Lonchura striata: one gene and its partner. The protein of the gene in region 2 interacts with the protein of the main gene of each other region in a biochemical or structural test. Links are inferred from orthologs where the notes say so. Each region holds a gene or a part of one and is shown on either strand. Other genes may lie near its edges. The genes, in order: CTNND2 and PDZD2.

Region 1 (11,062 bases), on a different chromosome or scaffold from region 2:
GGGTTTAAAACAATCAAAAATCCCGTCAGAATATATATTTACACTACCTGTTTATTTCCTTTGGCTCCCTTCAAAAATTCAGCCTTAAAGGGATATCTTGGCTACTTAATTGAATATCAACTGACAGTATTTGAATAGGAGAATGTGCCCATAGCTGAAAAAAGAAGATATTTATGTTACATTAAGCAGGGAAATTTAAGTTACACTATCAGTAAAAGTAATTATCTTGACCAAAAGGAAGTTGCTCTACTGTGAAGATTTTTGGAAGATGATGAAATCAATTGTAAATTTGACAAGGAAAAAAGAGTGGAAGTCAAAAACATTGAAAACATAGGAGGGGAAAATGCAAAATCCTCTTCTACAGAATGTTTTATGTAAAGCCCTTTTGGGTCTCAGATATTCTTGATTTTGGATGCTACAAGTTAGGCTCTACATATTTGTGGCTTCTTAAAATTAATTAAAACAAGTAGTAAATAAAAGTTCATTATATAGTAGAATTGATACAATTAACACAATAAACCAAAACAAAATGCAACATCAAACAGAGTTATTTTACATATTAATTTTAGAGAGTTAATACCATTTTGGCAGCTCTGAGAAGTACAAAGTTTAAAAGCTTCATTAGAAACCTGGAGGGTTTCTTGGGGGAGTTTACATTGGGTGGTTTTTTTGTTTGTTTTTGTTGGGTTTTTTTTCAGAAGCTTCAATTAAATAGGCAGCAACCAAAAGGACAAGACAATTTATTCTGTTCTATGCTTTATGTGTCTTGAAGTTATTGCTTATTACTATACTAGAGTTTTGTAAAGTAGAATAGGCAGATTAAGAGCCAGTAGAATGCACTAGAAGTTACCATGCCGAGAGCAATTTAAATAAATATTAAATGCTTTCTCTCATAGATAATGAAATGTTTCTCTCTTTCTTAGTTCTAGACTAAACTGACAGTTTATATAAGAAAAAAAAAAATGTACTGACATGGCAACTGGCTTACATAGAAACAAATAACATATTTCCTTTTCAATACTATTGAATTTAAATTTGTCCAGCATAACGCCAGACAATCTGGTCGGGCAATCTGCTTTTACAACCCATTTACTACATGAAGTTAGCACATCCCAAGGGGATAGAAGAAATTGTTTCAGTGTATCATGGTCCATTCAGATTTCTTTCCAGGTGAACCTAACTACCAAGAAGCCATTTAGCCAAAGGGTCATGTGTTTCTGCAGTGTGAGCAGAGGACTACTTACTTGTCCTGCATGGAGACTTCCTATTCATATGAGAGAAAATACTTTTCCTGATATATTTGCATTAAAAAAGGCCAAAAATGCAATGTTTTTCCTGGTATAATATCTTCTGTCATGACAAAAGCAATCTCTTCTTTAAGAGCAAATGTGGTTTAGCCCAATTTGAGAGTCATTCTGTCAATAAATAAATGTTCTAAATTTAAAACTGCTGCCTCCATTAAGGTATGTTGTTTACTTGTATCTTATTAATAATTCTACTACTAAACTTAATATTGTGCAGGCAAATAAGCATCCAAAATTCATCCTCTAATAGGATCTTAGTGAGAACTTCAAAGAGAAAAAACAATCACTTTCATTTTTGTTAAATCTCAGGTGTAATTTCAAATGTCAAACTCTTAATGATTTACAAGCACAGCCAATGGGCATCAAAACCACAGGTCCTTATTTAAGTGAAGGGTACTGTAATAATGTATTTTCCTTATCTTGCTGATACTCCTGAAAACAGCTGCTTTTGGGATAGAAACATATGCTTGAAATCCAACAAAAATATGCTGAAATTTCCACAAGTAATCAGCGTTAAAAATCATATCACACTGAACCATGAAATAGAAAATGTACCTGAAATTTAGTGCAAAATTTAACACTTATGAGTTCCACTGATTCTGTTATCTGCTCCATTTACATGCCAATCTACACCCCTACTAAAAAGGTTTATCTTAAAACCCTTAAAATAATCTGCTCCAGCACTTCTTTTATAGCACAAGTTGATTTTACATGTGTATTGAGCAATAATTGCTCAACACCAAATCATAGTCATTAAATTGCTACCATCCATCAGCAAAGGTAAATTATACAAATCAGAATTATGCAAAAATCTTTTTTCTAGTTGCTATTATTTCTATATTGTTCAACTCTCTATTAGATTTCATTATGTGAGGATGAAATTATCTTGGTGTTGTTATCAAAAAAACCCCACAGCAAAAGACAGTGGCTTGTGTCACTGATGAGCTATTTGTTGCTTTTAACATTTATTAAGGCACCTGAAAAACAGAACGCAAGAATTGTAGCTGGAATCCTCTCTCCCAAAAAAAGCATTTTTCTTACAATCCATGAAAAGTCATGCAACTGGCATTTGGAAATAAATACTTAGCTTCCTACTAGCAGCTTTGGGATGTATTTCCCTCAGTAGGTATACATAGCACAGCCTGCTACTCCTTTTTTTTCCAAGCCTCTCTTATATAAGACTGCAAAAAACATCTCTGAACAACGTGATCAAGATGTGATCTTCTCTTTTGGAACTACAGTATTCAACATAATCACATTCAACCCAGTCCCAAGCTATTAATCAACTTCTTACTAATGACGATGATCAATCTCAAGTTCTCTGCAGTTTTGCAGCTGATAGTCAGTCAAGGCTCCCAAAGGATCATGTCATTCACAGACCCAAATGAGACAGCGTCACCAGCCCTGCTCAGAAATTAGTCTTACAAGGCTATTTGATCATGATATAATGTTTTGCTTAAATATCACAGTCATTCCACGTGTTTGGGTTTAGTGTTGGGGCTCCTCCCCAGACAACCTGTGTAAAGGCAACAACAAAAGCCCTAAAGCCACTTGAGTCTCAGAGGCCCACAAGTAGGATATACAGCAGCTTTCTTTGGAGACCTGCCCTTAACCCCTTTATGCCATATCATTTTTACATTGCTAACTAGGCTGTCTGAAAAAGATAAGCCCAGCCTACAAAAGTTACATAATCAGTTGATTTTTTAAGACAGGATGAATATATCCTGAAGTACAGAATGATTAAAGATTTTTTTTCCCTCTCTTGATTTTGCAAAAGACACAACAGACTTACATAAACTCCATATAATTCTGGGTTGTCCTCCCTTTGTCTTGAGGTACCTAAGTCTTGACGTACCCTATGGAAAGGTTTGCTACAAAGCAAAGCTCAGGTTGACTCACTGTTTTCACCTTACATATAGGCTACCTATAAAGACTTTGAAAATAAACCCACCACGTGAAGTTTTTACCTTGTTATTGCCAATAAAAAGGCATGTTTTAAGGGACCCATATCAGTTACTACAGTCACTAAAGTTAAGAGCTGGGTGCTCAATAAAGGAGCCTCTTCATTTCTAAATATTTCTTCCAAGTTTTGGGTTTTTCTTTTCTGTAAAGCATAGGGTTAACTGTGACACCCTGAATCCAAACAAAGCACACACTAACAAAGTATAAGAAAATGTAACAGCACAAGATACTGTAGCACACTCTTCTGTGTATTCATCCTTCCAGTCCCTCCAGGGGAAATTTACCATGGTTTCCAAAATTATCCCTCTAACGTTTTTTTTTTTTCGTTTTTTTCAAAGATCCCTGGCCAGATGAATTTGTGTATTACATGTACTGCCTGTGCCACTGCACCTCCTTCCTCTGTGGTGACTTGATTCAGCTGAAGCTACGATTTGACCGATCGATGCAAGCACATTACACACCAGAATAAGAGTAAGGTAAGGGTAAAGGAAAGAAAAGCATCTCTCCTTTCAGCCATTAAATACAGATTAACGAAACATCACAGCGCACATCGCGGCTCCCCTCCCCACCCCCTCCGCCCGCTCCTCGAGCGCAGGATTTCGCAGACGGTGGCTTCAAAAGAGGAGCACACACCCCACACTCCCCTCCGCACACACACACACAGACACACGCACAGACACACAGACACTCGCAGCAGCGGGCGCAGGCTTCGCGCAGGGCCGGGCGCTGTCCCCGCCCGCGGGTCCCCGAGCCCCTTCATCTTTCTCCTCTTCCTCCTTCTTCTCCCTGGGCCCATGACTTCACCGCCGTAACGAGAACGTTAGTGCAGGGCGTCGGGAGGCACGGTATCGCCGATGCCCTACATAAGAAGCGACTAACGTAGCAAGAAAGGGAGGAAAGCGATGGAGGGGGAGGCCCGGGAGAAAGAGCCATGAGAAAATAACGCACTTTGTTACCTTTCGGCTGAGGGCATAAACACCGCTCCTTGCAGCCCAACCCAGCCCGGCTGCCTCGCCGAGGGGAGCAGCGCAGGACCCCGCACCAAGAAGAAATATCACGCAGGCGGGAAGGGTGTGTGGGGGGAGGGGGACGGACCTGGCACCATTACGGTGCCTGTCGTACTCACCGATCGGCGCCGATTCAGCCTGCTTGCTCCCAAACATATACCAAAACCCAACAGCAAATCCTCAGTCCGCCAAGCGAGAATGAAGCGGGGTAGCGGCGGGGGGGGCGGGGGGGGGCGTGCGACGGCTCCGGGCTTCACCGCAAGGTCCTGACCTTGCCCAGCTGCAGCATCTTCGGCTTGCCCCCCCCCAGGGCGTGCATGTGCGCCCGTGTGTCCCCGCGTCCGTGCGAGCGCGCCGATCCGGCTCCGAGGGACTCGGCCGCAGGACAGCTGCCCGCTGGCTGCCGGGGCGAGGAGGGCTCGGCATCCACCGCCCCGCCGCTGGGGCGAGGCGCGGGGCCGCTGCGGCCGCGGCGGTGGCGGCTGGGGCAGGCTGCGCAGCGGCGCCGTAGCGCAGCGCGCCGGGCGGGCACACCGGCCGCGGGATGTGGCCGAAGGAGACACAGCCGCCGCCGCAGCATCTGCCGCCGCCGCGCTCCCGCCCGCCCTGCCTCCCTCCCTCCCGCCTGCCTCCGCCCCTCCCGGCCCGTCCCCTCCCCAGCAGGAGCGCGCCCGCCGCGGCCGAGCAGCCGGCGCTGGGGAGAACAGAGGGGGGCGGGCGGCCCCGCTACCGATGAGGCGCTGCCGCCTGTGCCGGGCGGGGCTGAGGTAGGGCCGGGCCGGGCCGGGTCGCCCAGCCTCGCCCCAGAGGGGCGCGTCCCCGTGTTTCCTCAAAGCCCCGCGGCCGGGGCGGCTCTGATTTACTGTGGAAGGGGAGGCAGGGCGGAGGGCGCAGGTGTGGGAGCGCACTCTGGGCGGGGGTCGTAGATGGGGAGCAGCCCCTTGGCAGTAACCGCGGTTCCCGCTGTCATGGGTTGGGAACTTGAGGTCGACCTGCCAAAACGGTGACAACAACAGGGAAGCCAGAGCTCGTGCCCTGGCTCGCGCCTACCTCGGGTCTCTCTTCCCATGCTTGGGAAACCTAGGTGGAAATCCTACTGTGTTTTCAGAAATCTTATTGCGAACAAATAGGGTAAGGAATATGGAAGTCATGTTTTATTCCTGCGCACGCTTAACCCTTCGTTGAGAAACTTGTGTGGAATGCAATTGCAGCACTCACCTGAAAGTTACCACTCCATAGCTCCTTTCAACTCGCCGCTCGGAGTTTTGGTACCTAAACAAAACCACCCAATTTTTGGGGGTTGTTTCCCAGGGTAACCTCTGCTAATTCACTCTTGCAGCAGGCTGAGCCATCAGCACGGCACTGGGGACAACCGCGGCCGAGGCGCCCGGCCAGGGCCTACAGCCGGTCATTTATTGCCCGAAATCGCGGTCCCAGCACCTGCCCCGCAGAGAGGGATCCGCGTGTCCCTGGGCCATGGCCCGGCTCCCGCGGGACACGGCGTTCCCATCCCTCCTCCCCGCGCCCCTCCAGCCCCACACCGCCGGGTAAGTCATGCCGGGCCCCGCAGCGGTACCTGCGGCCGGGCTGAGCCGAGGCGACAGCGGAACGGCCCGACCGCCGCCACCGGGCTGCACGGCGACTCGCTGCTGCCACCTCTCGCTTGGCGTTCTCGTGGCTTCCCCAAACTGCTGCGAGCAGGAGATTCACCTGACCGGGGGTCCCACTTCTCACCGTTGGGTGGTTGCGGTGACTACCCCTCCCTTAATGTCACGGGAAGGCCGGAGGCTGCGTCTTCTCAGAGCCAGAATGCTTTATTTTAGGCCTGAGGTCACTTTTTGGAGGAACAAGGGGGGTTTATTACCATATGTTTTGGACCATATAGATGACTAGTATGTGTCCTTTCCCTGAGTTGGGTGAAGGTGGCCCACCCACCTGTGACAAAATCAGTAAGTTACAGCTGAGGGTGATTCAGCCTGGCAGCACCCCGCAATGCCAATCCAGATTTTGCCCAACTAATAGGACTTGTAAGAAGTGCACCTCTGGGCTCAAGTCTAGAGTAAACCCAAAACCTCATTGTCAGCTTGCAGTCTGGCATGTCTTGATACCTACTGAGTTGCAACTATAGAGGGGAGCTGGCTGGTGGCAAAACACAGTGGCCAATCCAGTCGTGACTCGATTAGAGAAGCTACCAACTAGCCCATTGTCCGAACTTTTGGTTGGACCAAAAGTTCATTTTTTCTGCAAAGTGCAAGCCCCTGGGTTTGTGATTCCCAGCCTGAGACAGACATGTAACTCTGAACTGAAAGTAGTGGATCACTCAGTAGTTGCCTGGAGTCACTGTCATACAGTTAATCTTCAAGATGTACTTGATAATTAAATTACTGGGTGCTACAGTATCATAGATATGCTATAGCATCATGTGATCCACCTTCTGCAGCCCAGGCTCTTTTTCAGAGCCGAAATGTCTTTCTGTCTATAAAGGTAAAGGAGATTGAAAGACTAGAAGTAGGCTGTGTCCTCCTTCCATTCCCCCTCAAATATTCCCATGTAATACGGACAGTTCATGGCCCTGGGGACTGTACACATCTGACCTAATTGTAGGATAAGCAGTGTGGGCTAGTGAAGAATGAACCTAAGACATCTGATTCTCCCCACACTGCAAAGGTTACCCAGCTGGCTATACTGACCTGACTAGTTAGTATGGAAGCTGAAATGTAGACTCTCTGTAGGGAAAGTGAGGCCTGGAGACAGAAGGGTTTTGCAAGAATCTGGGAAGTGTCTGAAATCGGTTTTTCTCTCACAAAGTTTCCTCCTTTCACATCACAGTTTTGCATGAGAGGGATTTCATCTCAAGATGTTGCAAGATTCAAAAAGCTTCTCCTTTTCCTGTCACTTTCCTCTCTGATTCTCCCTGCTGCATCACATTTCAATGTTCCCTGATACCAGGTGAGGTCAGAGAAGGGGTCAGGACCAAGCCCTGCTTATGGATGTGGAGAAACATAACAAGGGAATTAAATCAGGGTTCAATATTACTTTTTTACTGCTGTTGCTGCTGTCACGGAGGAAGAGTAAGGCAGATCAGTGAGGGTTAAGAATGTGGAAAGCAGTGAGATCCACTTCTGGAAGAGGTTGCATTCCACACAACTTCTGGAAGAGGTCTGCCAACTTTATTCTCAGACTAAACCTCTTCTGACAAGCCAAAAGCTTATGTAGGTGGAAGCTCTTCACTTTTTTGGTCAGTCCCAGACTTCTTGGATATAGACAGTCTGTTTTCTCAGGCTTCTCAGGTCTGTACCTAGAAGTGGGGTATCTGTCCTTATCTTTGGTTAACTTCCCTAAGTGTTTGTTCAAGTTGGAGATTTTTTATTTTTTTCCTTGAGAAAGATGGAAAAATAAAAGGAAATTATCATATCAAGGTGGATATTTTCTAGCATGGGAGCTGTAAAAGCATCTTTGCCATTTATATTTACCTGTTAGATTTACAAAGGTTCTTGAGCCTCCCATTTCTATTTGATCAAAGAAATGGCAAGTAAAAATTTTAGAAAACAGAAAAAAAGAAGTCGTAATATGAATAGAATTAAATGGAGTAGTAGAATTTTCAGATAATTAGTCCTCCAAATGACTGTATTATGAAAAACAATAGCAGTAACCAATTTTTCAAGTTTAGGCTCAAGGGTTCCATCTTGGAATACCTGGTTACCAGTGATAATTTTCCCATCCTGCTAACTAAAAATATGTATTTTTCTTTGTGAAAAAGTTAATCATGAGGTAAAGGATGAAGCTAGCAGTGGAGGTACCCAAGGAGAAGTCCATTAGTCAACAGTTGCGTCAACAGTCAGGACGAGTCCTCTAAAATATGGGATATCTATATACTAGTTGTGTCTGCATGTTCTGTCTTAAATCATATTTAATTTTTGTTTGATTCTTCTTGGAATGGAGTTTGGAAGCTTGAATTTTTGGACAGAAAGGAAAACATTTCTTTTCTGTTTTGACTTTCTTTAAGATTATGTTTGAATCTAAATGTATAATTCATGTGAAGATTGTTGAGGTCCTCTGTCATGGACCAGGTCCAACAACTTCTTTTTTCATGCTGAAGTCAATGGGAACTTTCCATACTAAAATGTAACTGAAGTGAAACTAGGTATATGTAATAGTAGCATGTTTCAGACAATCTTTAGGCAATCTAGAATAAAGTTGGGAAAACTTGGTTTTGCTCTTTTTAATAAACTGAAAAATCAGTCAAGTATAAATAGTTTTTTAGTTTACAGCTATATTTCAAAGAAGTTCTTGCAATTACTGTCTTATCCCTTTCTAAGAATTATTTCAAGGTGAAATTATTAAAAAAATGTTGACAACATCCACTGAAATACATTTCAGATAGGAAAGAACATGTTTCTTGAGTCACACAGTATGGTATCTTAATGAAACTAAGCTGGTAATGAATTAAAATAATTGGTCCAAATTTCTTCTCCTTTATTTGACTTTGATGTTATCTTTAAAAAGTCAAATCGTCCTTGAATGATAGTAATACTATGTGTATTTTCCATTTCTCCTAAATTGTTGCAAAATATTGTATAACAACAAAGTACCTGTAAATCCTGGGATGAAGATGATTTTCTATGCCACAATGATGACATGAAAAGAGAAGGTTTGCATGATTGTATTTGCAAAGCTTGCATTCTTATCTCATGAAAATATTTTTTAAACAGAAGTCTCCTAAATAAATAGAAGGTATTTTCAATTCTGAGGCACAGCTGGCTTTGACTCAGTCTGATTATGAGTAAATTATTGTTGAAGTGCTAAGCTTGACTGGCAATAGGAAGATACAATTGAATTTGTAGTACCTGCAGATTTAGTAAATGAATGTGTACTTGCATTGGAGAGTTGATTTTTTATGTACTGAAGACAATTCACAGCCTTAGGACCCAACTGAGATTTTCTTATTCCCAGCTTCATCCATTGATGACCAAATAGGCAGTAATGAACAGAATCTCTCTGAAACAGCTGTATTAAAATACTTTTGGACCTACCTTACTTAAAAAAATAATTGTAAAAATTATTGTCTAGTGAATAGCTGCCATTGGTTTCCTAAACAATTTAGCATTTTGAGCATGTCAGATTTTCACATGAAATTATACAAAAGGTAAAAATTTCAATTTAATTCAATGGTGTGTGTCAGTCACGATCAATCAGAGCTCCTATTCAAGGTATAGTGAGAGAACTACATTTTTTAATAACAAAACTTCATTTAAGTGTTCCAGATTAAGGAGCTACTTGGAGTTTTACTTAACTTCACAGAAAAACTTAGTGAAAATATTAAGAAGGTAACAGACAATGTAAGTGCTTTTTCCTATCAATTAAAGAGATCTGATTGAAAGAAGACTTGAGGTTTTCAGTTTGTGGAGTTTTTGGGGGTTTTTTGGGTTTGTTTTTTTTTTTGGGGGGGTGGGTTTGTTTTTGTTTTGGGGTTTTTTTTTATATTGTTATTTGGAAGATTGAAGGCCAGAAGTTAAAATGACAATTAATGTAGTGTAAAAATTGTTCTTTTCAGCATCCAGTAAAACAAAGTTTACTGTAGTAAATTCATATACCCTGTATTAATAGGTTATATAAAGAGCGGGTCTGAAATAATTTGTAAACATTAACCCCATGAAAGAAAGTAATTTCATTCTGCCTTTATGTTGCCTGCTATTACTAGCAGTACAATGTCAACTTGGCTGCAAATTGTAATCTATAGATTGTATATCAAGATGTTTATCTCTATTATTGTCAACTGAAATGACAAGCAATTCCCAGGATACATCCTTTAATATATTTAGAGCTATAAAAGCATTAGGATTAAGGTATAACACTTACAAAACTATACTGTATGTTGGATTATTTTTTCTCTTTTCTGTATTTGTATATTGAATAAGTCCATCTCAACAAAAAAGACCATCCTGCAAAAAGTCATGCAGAAATTTTTGACACAGATTCAGAAAATTATGCTGTTTGAATAAAAGTTAGTGAAACCTTGTTACAATTATTATCCTATTATTTAATCAATTTATGCCAGGGTTTTACTTTGTATCTTTCCACTGTGTCAAAGACTGTCAAAGTTCAAGGAACCAGTAGATTGATTATCTAGTTGGACCTCATATTGCATAAGGCTGAGCTATTACCTACCCTGAACTCAAAACTGATGACTTGGCATTATGGAATTATGGAATGCTAGGTCACTTTATAATCTGTGTTCTATTATATTTAGTAAGTATCAGCAAAGATGAAGCTAGTTTTACTTCAGTGTTATACTCCATGAACACCATGCTCCAAAAGTGACACACATTTACCTTTTCCAACAAGTGTGATTTTAATTTTCTGGAGAGTCTTGGTGTGTTTTTTCAGTGCTTAGGAGAGCTTCTTGTCTTGTTTTCAGAACCATACTCTAAATTTAATTTGATAGTTTCACTAACAACTCTTATGAAAACCCACACCTCTGAAGCTCCATGGATATACAATTTTTAGCAAAGATAACTTACAAGAATTGTCTTCTTATGAGGAATGCACGAGTGTTTCAGTGTACAGGAAGACACCTGGTAATAGTCCCCATACCTGAAGTTTCTTGAGTATGCTACGGGTGCATTCAAAATGTTTGCCCCACCAGTGGCACCAAGGCTGAAGTCACAGCAGGGGCTGTCTGGAGAGCACTGATGGCAGTGTGGACACAAGGCTCTCCAGCATATCCTGTACATTGTGAGGCCCACAATACTTCATTTCCTTTTGTTTCTCAGCTGAAATGTTCTGTAC
Region 2 (10,209 bases):
GCTACATCTGGAAGGAGTATTTCCTATTTATGCTTGTCTGGAGTAATTTTTCCAAAGCCAGAAGGTTTTGTTTGAGAATATCAAATCCCTTGAAAGTACCGTATAATTATCTACATGATTAATTTAAGTGTCTGCCATGGCTCTGCAGTGAACTCAGGGGCGTAGACAAGCAACCCGCAGTGTATTGATGCCCACAGCTTTTCCTGTGGGGAGAAGGAATGGGGTTTTGAAGGTTGCCTGCCTCTGGCAGCGTGGAGGGGGCCGTCATCCTCTATCTCTGGAGGGATGTGTGTGCATGGAGGGGGAGAGCCCTCCAGCAATGCTGCTAAATGAATGATGGATGAGTTTTGCGTGGAATGCAGATGCCTTTGAACGCTCTGACAGCTAACTGCAGGATTGAAGCTGAAGTCATCATCAGTGCCCTTTGCCAATGCAGACGAGATTTGGAGATTTGAGCTACAACTCTGAGCTGCTTTCAAGGAGCCCTGAGATCTCCAGGGACCCTGGCAGTGCTTTTGATCTGGGAATAGCTGGCAAAAGACAGTCCATAATATGTCTACCCAATGTCAAACCTGATAAACAGCTGAGAACAAAACTTTAAATTATTAGGCAAAAAGAGCCTCAAAGTATGATCTGGTCCCATCTTCTCTAGAGCTTGAATGGTTTTGAACTGTATATGGTCACTGAAAGTTGTACCAAAGTTTGCTGTTAAAGCAAAGGGTGTCATTGTCATAACTCACAGATGTTATCCATTAAATGACCTCTTACTGTACTCTCACTAGGACGGTAAATTATGTTGAAGGAAGTAAAAGTAAGAGGGATTGAAATGGAGAAATCTTAATGTCTCCCACAACCCAAGAGATATTGGCTCCAATCATTGTTCATGGCAGATCTCTGACCTTCTGCAGAGACCACCGTGAGTGTTGGAGACTCCAGCAGCTGTGATAGTGTTCCCCAGTGTCTTCATACTTTTCATCCTTCTGAGTGTTACATAACCACTCCCTGCATGTGATTCACATGCATTACTCCATCACAGACAAGAGGAACAGACTACTTTTCTCCTCATGGTCACTGTGGGTCATTTTAAAGTACATGAGGACCTTTAACTTGTGCTCTCAAATCCTACCTGCAATACTTTCTCCTTTTTAGCAGGCCCTAACTTTTTGAATATTTCCTAGTAATTCATACTTTCAAGACTGCCAAGTCATGTCAGAACTCTTCCAATTGGGAAGTTTTGCTGCTGAGACCTTCCAAGCCATGTGTGAGGCAACAGAAATACTTCATATGCCTTGTTACCTTTGTCCCTGCTGACACATCCTGAGACAATGACCCTTTTTTTTCTCCAGCAGCAGGATATTGACAAGAATGATTCCCTATAAACCTTTGAAAATGTTCAAAACCAAGCTGGGTGGGGCTCTTGTCTGGAGCAATGTGTCCCTATCCATGGCAGGGGGGTTTGGGACCACATTCCTTCTTAACCCAATCCATTCTGTGATTCTGTGAAAATGCTGCATCTCTTGCCAAAGATTTGCCACATAGCCAGTCCCTTCTAAGTGAGATATTTCTTTTGCAGTGTTCTGCATTTGTCCTTGATGAACTTTACCCTAATTTTTAGAGTATGTTTTTCTGATTTTTGCCAAAATATTTTAGATGCTAATCCTGTCCTTCAGTGTGTCTGCAGACATGCCCATCTTTGTGTAATCTGCAGATTTAATATGTGTATTTGCTTTCATTGTCCAGGTCACTAATGAGTGTGCTGAGCAAAACTAGACTATACAGATCCAGCAGAGCTCCACTTTCAGTGTCCGTATGTTTCACAGAATGTTATTAATAACTACTCCCTGGGTATGGACTTACAGTAGTCTCATTTAATCATATTTCCCAAGTATATTTATGAGAAAGTTGTTTGAGACAGTGACAAAAGCTATAATGAAGCCCAGATGAACTATATTTGACAACTTTCCATTATGAAAAGAAATTAAGTTGATTTCACATGATTTTATTCTTGCCTCTTCTGTGTCTGCTGCTGCTTATATTTTTGTTCTCTTCCCCATAAATGCAAACTATTTCTCTGTTTGATTTGGAGTTTTTTGGATGATTGATGCTAGATTGACTGATATCACATTTTTCTGCTGCTTTTCCTTCTACCCTTGAAGACAGCCACTGCATTTGCTGTTGTCCTTAATTCTGACACCTTACCTGTTTGAATTCTCACAAGTGACCAGCCATCTGAGATGGTTTTAGCTGGTTTGTAGGAGATTTAAATGGTGGTTTTCCCAACTCTGCTGGACTGGAAATGCCTGAATTGAACTAATCTCTTACTCTGGAACAGGCAGAGAAGAGGGTAGTATGCCTCTGTACTGATATTGTGTCACACTGTGTACTAATCCCCCATGCATAGTTGGTAATTTTAAAAAGGACTAAAGCAAAACTCAAACCAGTGTTGCCTCTTTTTGTGTCATTTTTCAATAACTTTCTCTCTGAGCAATGTTTTTCTTCGTATTAATATGCATATAAAGAGTAACTTTTTTTTATCTTCTGCAAGTTTCATTTCATTTTTATACCCTGATGTTTCTATTATTTTTGCCTATGTGTTCATGCTGGTTTTTTTAAACTTGTGCTCAGTAACCTTTTAGTGTTCTTTCTTCTTGTCTTTGGGGAAAATAAAAAGCTCGTGATGCTGCCAAATCTTCTGATCCTTCTTCATTGAGATGCTATTGTGCCTGTGCCTTTTAAGCAAAAAATATTGTTTCTTCAAGAAACTATAGCTCACCTTGATTTCTTTTTTCTTTAAACTTTTCTCCATGAATTCTCTCCTAGCAGTTTCTTTTTTTTTTTTTTTTTTTTTTTTTTAAATGTACTGAAGCCAGTCATTTCTATTTTGCTGTTCGCAATCCCTTGATTTTACAGGCATTCTTACAGGAGTTTCTTTCCACCTTCTTATCCCCTACACATCTCTCTCTGGAGGCACTTCCTTGCTGATTACTTGACCCCATCCATTATGTGAGAATTTTGCTCTGAAGGCACCAGGACTTTCTATCTCCTACTACTTTCTTTTTCTAGCAGTTATCTCATGCTTCTACTTTCCCATTATCATTGAGTCAGCTGTTATCAGGTTCTTGGTTTAGGGTTTGTTGTGCCCTCCCGTGTATTTTGTTTTGTGCTTTCTGCCTTTATTATTAACTAGATAATTTAGCAGTTCTTACTCCTCCTGTCTTCTGGACCTCAGAGCAAATATACACATCATTCTCAGTGTGCCAAGAGGTTCTGCCTCTACTTTTTCTTTGTTGGTCCACATATAAGCTATGCATTTTTAGATCAATATTCCAGATATAGGTCTTACAACAGTAAGTTCCAATTATGTCAGTTAAATCATTGCTTTTGTCTTAAATATGAGATCTTAAATAAGACTTAAATTCTGTGTTAAAAAATCCCACATACTCACCAGTGTTGCATTAGGTATCTAAAATGCTCAGAGGATTTATCCTTACCTCCTGATCAGTCCATGTCTGTATTATCACCACTTGTTTTAGACATGTGCCTAGGCAGTTTCTGTCTTTATTCTTCCCCTTTTCTTCCCTTTTTTTCCTGCCCTGAGCCTATCTCAGAAGTCTCTCTTTCTGAGCAAGGGGCCAGTTCCTCCTTTCCCAAGCTGATGTCTATCCCTGTTGAGCCACTGGTGTAACATCAGCCTCTTGGTTAAGATGCTGGTGTCCTCCTGTAGAAGCATCACGTGGCCCTGAGCTGTTGTTGTCCTTGAGCTTTGTCCTTGACCTTTGAGCTTGTTGTTGACCCTAAGCTTTCTTGGGTCACTTCTGTCCATCTAAGTTTTGCCCCACAGCCAAGGAGGTGGCAGAACTTAGAGGTTTTGGGCAGCAGCATTTTGCAAGAGCCTCCCTCTACACTAATTCTTTTGGGGTTATAAACTCTTCCTACAGCTTTTCTACCTAACACAAGCCTTTATGCACATCTGCAAGAGCACACCTGCAGACTGCAAGCTCGAAGCTGCTGCTTTCTTCAGTTTTCCTGGTGCACAGCTCACTGAGCAGCATCCACTGCTAGAAAATAAAGCCCTGAAAGAATCCGGTCAACCAGACCTGACTCGGGTCAGGGTTTTTTCTTGTTTCATAGATCCTAATGATCCTGGCAAAAAAAACCCTGATTCATCCTGTTGCTTGCTAACCTCTGCCTCCCACTGACTCCTGGCTGTCTGTGTGCCTCCCTCCAAACTGCAGGCAGTTGGGTGATTCACCTGCCGTACTCCTTTCCCGGGAAGCTGGATAGTCACTTCTCTTAGACGCCTTACCCACAAGGTGGCTGTGCACCACCGTTGCCATGAAGAGAGGGACCCCACTGGCATATTTGCCTTTCTGTTTGCTGCTGCCCATCTCTCGTGCAGCTTGGCGGGGAGCTAAGTCCGGGAAGAGACCGGTTTGAGCCTATCCAGCCCAAAATCACCGGCATGGACGGCAGGGCTGTCAGGAAGGGGGGCTGTCAGGACGGCAGGGCTGTCAGCTTCAGTCGCCGGTGAGGCCGGTGCCCCTCCAGCGGCCCTTTGAGCAGGAGTGTCATCCCCGCTCGGGTCAGAGCCCCGGAGCTGCGGCAGGAGCATCCCCTGGGCTCTGTAATCCGCCTTTCACCGCCAAGGTCAGGAGCTAATGGTGACCTTTTATTCCCTTGCTGAGGAGAGCAGCTGGTGCCCTCAAGTGGTAAATGGCAGGAGGAGAGCGGGCCCTTCTAACCGCGCTGTTTTGCCCTCGCAGGACGAGACGCCGTGGGGCTCGTGGTGGGAAGGACGCTTGGTACCCGACCGAGCGGGGACACCGGCGGCAGGCAGACCTGCACGGCCACAGACGCTGGCAAACTTGTCCCACCAGCCTGTTCGTAGGGACGGCTGTAGCGCCGTGACACCAAACATTCCTTGACTTTGTTCCTGGACAGCTGGAACCTCCCAGAAAATCTCCGTGAGACTACATGGAGCTTGCTTTGGACGTGCAGTCCCTCTCCAGCATGTTCGACTGGGGCCGGGGCTGAGGCCGTGAGGGGATGCCCAGGGACAGCGATGCCCATCACACAGGACAACGCGGGGTTCTTCCTGCCCCTCCTGTGCCAGTGGCTGCAGAACAGCTGGCGGGAGGGGGCCGAGGGAGCCGAGCAGCAGCTCTGCCGCTCGGCCGTCCAGAAACTGAGCGAGTACATCCAGCTCAACTTCTCTGTGGACGAGAGCAACCTGCAGCCAGGGAGCTGTGGGGCTTTGGATACGGAGATCTGCACCATGTACCTGGCCCAAGAGATGCGGAAAAATGAAGTCCTCGGCTTGAGCTTTGGGAATATCCCTGCTCTGGGGGACTATGGGGAGAAGCGCCGGGGAGGAAAGAAGAGGAAGGCGCATAAGGGGCCTGTGCTCGATGTTGGGTGCATCTGGGTGACAGACTTGAAGAAGAACAGTCCGGCTGGGAAGTGTGGGAGAGTGCGCCTGAAAGACGAGATCCTTTCTCTGAACGGGCAGCTGATGGTCGGTGTGGATGTCACTGGAGCAAGGTAAGGGTGGCAGAGCCACCAGCAGCAGCTGCCTCTGGTGCCACATGGTGCAAATCACAGTTGATACTGTTGGAAGTCCAGGAACAGAGGTTTTGACCTTTGCAAGAGAGAGTCATGGATTCATTTTTAAGGCCTTGTAGAAAATAAGTAAGAAAAGCAAATTGATAATTAGCCTGCGTGTGCTACTAACACTTCCGCTGAAAACATTTCAGGAGTCATTGGGTCAAAAAATTACACATCATAATTGCCAGAGGGGCTTTACTAAAATAGGAGCCTTCCTGGTTTTTTATAAAATGGTTTTCTTAAGCAAAAATGAACACAGATGCAGCAGCACCGGAAGATATTTTTACAGGTGCTCATATTTTTTGTTGAATTATTTTGGTTGAGAGAAGTGTATTTGACAGCCAAGTGTTGTCTGAGACTTTATCGAAGCAAGACATTTTTTATTTTCCAGTTTGGAACAACTTCATTTTAATAAATTCCCTTTGACTTTAATACATTTGCTCTCTTCTGATGTCTCCTGATCCAGAAAACTTGAAATCTTTAAGAGTTCAAATAAAAAAATTAGGATTCTTGTAATGATACAGATTGTTCTTGTGGTATTTTTTTTTTTAAATTCAGCTATTCTGTAAATTCAGTTACTTTCCCAGTATTGCTCTTTGTGGGCTGGTACACTTTCTCACATTACCCTTTGCAAAGGCAAAACCCTTTCTCTGCTGTAGATGAGGATGTAAACATTCATTCATTCCTGAGGTTACAATGTACCTGAGGGCATGAAATTCTCTCCCTCTTGCCAAAAGGGAATTTATTTTGGGGGTGGACACCTTTGGAAACCAAATCCTAGTGAAGTGACCCCAACAACGGGATAACTTCACTTGAATGTGGCAGGAGTTTGGGCTGACCATCACTCCCAGTTCTGACATGTGGCAGAATAAAAGCAGTGACTCCTCAATCTGTGGGTGTTGGGCAGCTCAACCTTCTGTGGTTTTACAGGTATGATCTGTAATTCCTAGCTTGTAATTCAGTAAGTGTATACATACTGGTACTGTGGCAGTATCGGTCAGTGGCACCTCCAAATTTGAGAGTGTTTATGGCAAAAGGCACTTAGTTTGCTGTTTCCCCTTTGTCAGATGTCACTTTTTCTAAATACAAGGGAATTGCTTGCAGTGGGCAGCAATAATGTTATCTTATTAAAAATGCAAAATGAGAGTTAATAGCCAATGAAGCCAAGAATCTTGGGCTATCTGTTCTCTTTTGGCTTATCTCTGAGGGCTTAATATGGGGCTTGTTCCTTTTGGAAAGTTCTGTTATTAAACTGGCAAGCTGTGACTGCAGCTAATGGGAACTAAGTGCTCCATTTTCCTTACTTTTTTGGGCCATTACAAAGACACAGTTTTAGTGGTGTGGAGCCAGTGTTTTTAAAATCTTGTTTTAGAATATTCAACATCCAATTTAGGCCAAAATTTAGGACATTTTGTAGTCAAAACCCATTTTATTTTCAACATCCACAGCATCCTTATGTAACTTACTATTTGACTATTTGTCTAACTGCTATTTGACAAAGGTGATGTTGATGGATGGCAGTTTGGGACCTTGAGGATGCTCCCAGTTTGGAGAGCTGGCTTTTTCCTATGTGGGAGCTGGCTGGCAGCTCCAACCCCATGTTCCCACATTGTGCATCTGGAGTGCTTGAGGATGCTTTGAGAATCTTTCTCCACTGGGGTGCTCAGAATAATTCTGTCTAGCTTTATAATAGTATGAAAGGCAACATCAACTTGCCTTCTGGGAAGACTGCTTCCAAGAATAAGCTTTCCTAGAGAATTCCATATTGCTGCTATGGTGGAAGTAGCAAAGCCCTTTTCCCCTTAGTTTTTCAAAGAGTTATTGGGGCAGGACAGCACACTGACTAGTACATTGTCTGACAGCACACTAGTACTGACTCAATTTCTGACTGCCTAATTATTCCCTGGCTGAGTGAGAAACATTTCCAGGTCGATACAAGGGGCTGTGGGTGCTCTGATTTGTGGTGTGATTTACTTAGTGGGGCCTAGACATGATCAGTGAAGGTAAAATATTGCCTTAGTTCCTGCAGCACCAGGTTAGACTCAGCAAGCAAAATCACTGCTTGTGTGTTTATTCCACGCCTGCCCAGTGTTCCAGGGCAGCCCTATCTTGCCTGATGAAGAAATTTTTCAAACTGATGCTATGGAAAATCTTCTGATTTATTCCCTTTACAATGGAGGAATTGGCATGGGGGTCTCACAGCTCCACGTTGCAGTAGGGTTTGCAGAAGTGTTCTCACATACCCTGGGCTTCATGTAACCTCAGCTTTAGTTCCAGCCTGCCATCCAAATCCTCCCTGTTCCAAGGGGCTAAACTAATGCACCAGAAAACAAGAGAGAAGAGGTGAGGGTACACAGTCCTTTCTGCTATCCTATGGATGTGGTCAGCCTCTAGAGGATGCAGGGGAAGGTCAGAGGAGCTGGAACAGATTGGGCAGCCCTGGACAGACAGGGCTGTTTTGGCCTTGCTTGGTGGGCCCACAGGTCCTCATGTCTCAGAACGGTGATGGGATCAGACACAGTAAGAGCAGCAAAACACTTCCTGGAGGAGCCAGCTGTGAGTACCACTCATCTCTCTCTCCTTGCTAAGAAAGCTGAATATGACTTCTTTAAAGAAAGGTTATTTATTTAAATTCCACATGATTTTCATGTAAACAGCAGAGATGGGTTGATTATTGCTGAACTTGTTTATTTTATTTTTTTTTCCTTTTCATTTAGAAAAACACTATGGAGTAATAAAGTCATCAAAGCTTTTTGCTTAACAGGGTATTATTACATTAGAGAGGAATAATGTAGGTGGTGTCATTTTTGGTGATGTTAGTGATTGAGGGAAAATTATTGCTCTCTTTAGAGTTAGCAAATTGTGTGTCTATCAAACACAATTGCAGGGAAATTAGCTGTATTGGAATATTGAACAAAGGTTAGTCAAAACTCTGCATATTTATTTATCTATCTTCTGTCTATACAACTGTATCTGCAAAATGCATGGGTTATGTTCCCCCCGACAACAACTTCCTATGTATTTTGGATCAACTCTACTCATTTTGGGCTATTACTCACTTGCTGAAGGGATGCTGTTAGTATTTCTAGAGATAACAGATGGATCCTTCATTTCTTGAACATAACTGAGTGGGGCTTCTTTGAGAAAGTCCTTGGAGCACTGCAAAAAAAAAATTTTTTCATTAATATAATTCAGTTTGAAATATTTGATTATGAATTTCATCAAGCATAGCTGCAGTGCTTGGACACAGCTACCATATACATTTAATCTTTAAAATCAGTGCTAAGTAGATTTTCAAATTCATTTTTGTAAAAAGCAGAGTAAGATACATCACCAGTGTTGACAGTGTGGTAGAAACATGAATTAGTATTATAATTTTGTCATTGAGAAAACCCAACCACTCCTTCAAGATACCATCTTTCTTGTTGCCAGAAATCACCAAACATTGCCATATGTGGGAATACAGTCAGAGAAGTGGCTGGCTTCTTTTTAACCCACAAACTGGAGTTGCTTCCAAAAAATCCAAAGAGAGAAATATTTTGTCAGCCATACCTTTGCACAGTGCTTTTTTAGTCTCTCCTCTTCAGTCAGTGTCCTGGGGAAGTTGCTGAGACTCCTCCTCAGAATAGGTAAAGCATGCCACATTTCAGGGAATTCAGTTTCCTTTCAGAGATGTTGAGAAAGACCTTTAAGAATCAGGTCTGCAATGGAGAGGGAACTTCAAGTGCCACTACTAAAGGCAAATATTTTACTTTAGCTGAAGCTGAGGGTTTCCAGTAGAGCCAAGGTCTTTCATGAGTGCTTGCTGCTACTGCACATTTTATGTTCATGCCTCCAGGATAGCTGGAACTATGAAGGTAAAGTCCTGCTGCTCCTCACACATCAATGCCATTAGTAGTTGTGTGATATATGGACATTCTAAGCACTGTCCTGCCTCTCTGTAAGTGCTAGCAGCTGATTACAGAGGACAATTCAAAATGTCCAACGAAATTACAGGTCTCAAAATGTGCACAGCACTTTGTGCTGCCTGCTGTGGCATTAATTAACAGTCCTGGTCTCTGCTGGGTGAAATCTTGATGTTCTTTGTGAAAAAATGAGTTCTTGCTGGTGCTAGAAACAAATCATGCAGTTTTTGGCTGTAATTAGAGACAGATTCTGCTCTGAACAGGGGTCTTCACTAGGGCAATCTTCTTTGTTCCTGTGCTGTGAGCCCTGCAGACAAGGAGCGGACCTATACCTGCAGAGCAGTGCATGTGCTTTGGGGCTGGGAGCAGTGAAGTATTTACTGTGTCTGAGAAGAGCTGCTCAAAAATCTGGATGTGATTTAAAAACTGTTTTGTCTGAAGACAAACACTTTCAAGGCACTTTTTTATTGAGATCCCCTTTCCTCAGAAGTTTGAATGGGATTATTTTTTTTTTTAATAAACTGCTTTGCTCCTGCAATAGAAATATTTTCTCGCTGGGAGAAACATGCTTCCCCTCCAAATGTGGTCACTCTTTGATATTCAAGTGCTCCAATTTTACATTTTCCATGGGGCACTGCTTCCTACCATGCTGTGTTGAGGCACTGTCACTGCTTCAGGAGGATGGCTGTCTTTGCCATGA

What was found.
Region 1: the proteins of PDZD2 (region 2) and CTNND2 form a complex in vitro, tested with the Homo sapiens proteins (2 studies listed by BioGRID and IntAct, with this or other methods). The link is inferred for Lonchura striata from reciprocal best matches to the Homo sapiens genes PDZD2 and CTNND2.

The regions. Positions count from the first base shown.
Region 1 is NC_134603.1:72,728,010-72,739,071, forward strand, and holds the start of CTNND2 (catenin delta-2), read right to left. Parts: upstream 4,523-11,062; 5' UTR 4,430-4,522; coding exon 4,393-4,429; intron 4,281-4,392; exon of another isoform or gene 4,223-4,280; intron 155-4,222; exon of another isoform or gene 48-154; intron 1-47. UniProt on the Homo sapiens protein: Has a critical role in neuronal development, particularly in the formation and/or maintenance of dendritic spines and synapses. Involved in the regulation of Wnt signaling.
Region 2 is NC_134642.1:39,146,202-39,156,410, forward strand, and holds the start of PDZD2 (PDZ domain-containing protein 2), read left to right. Parts: upstream 1-4,914; 5' UTR 4,915-5,062; coding exon 5,063-5,541; intron 5,542-10,209.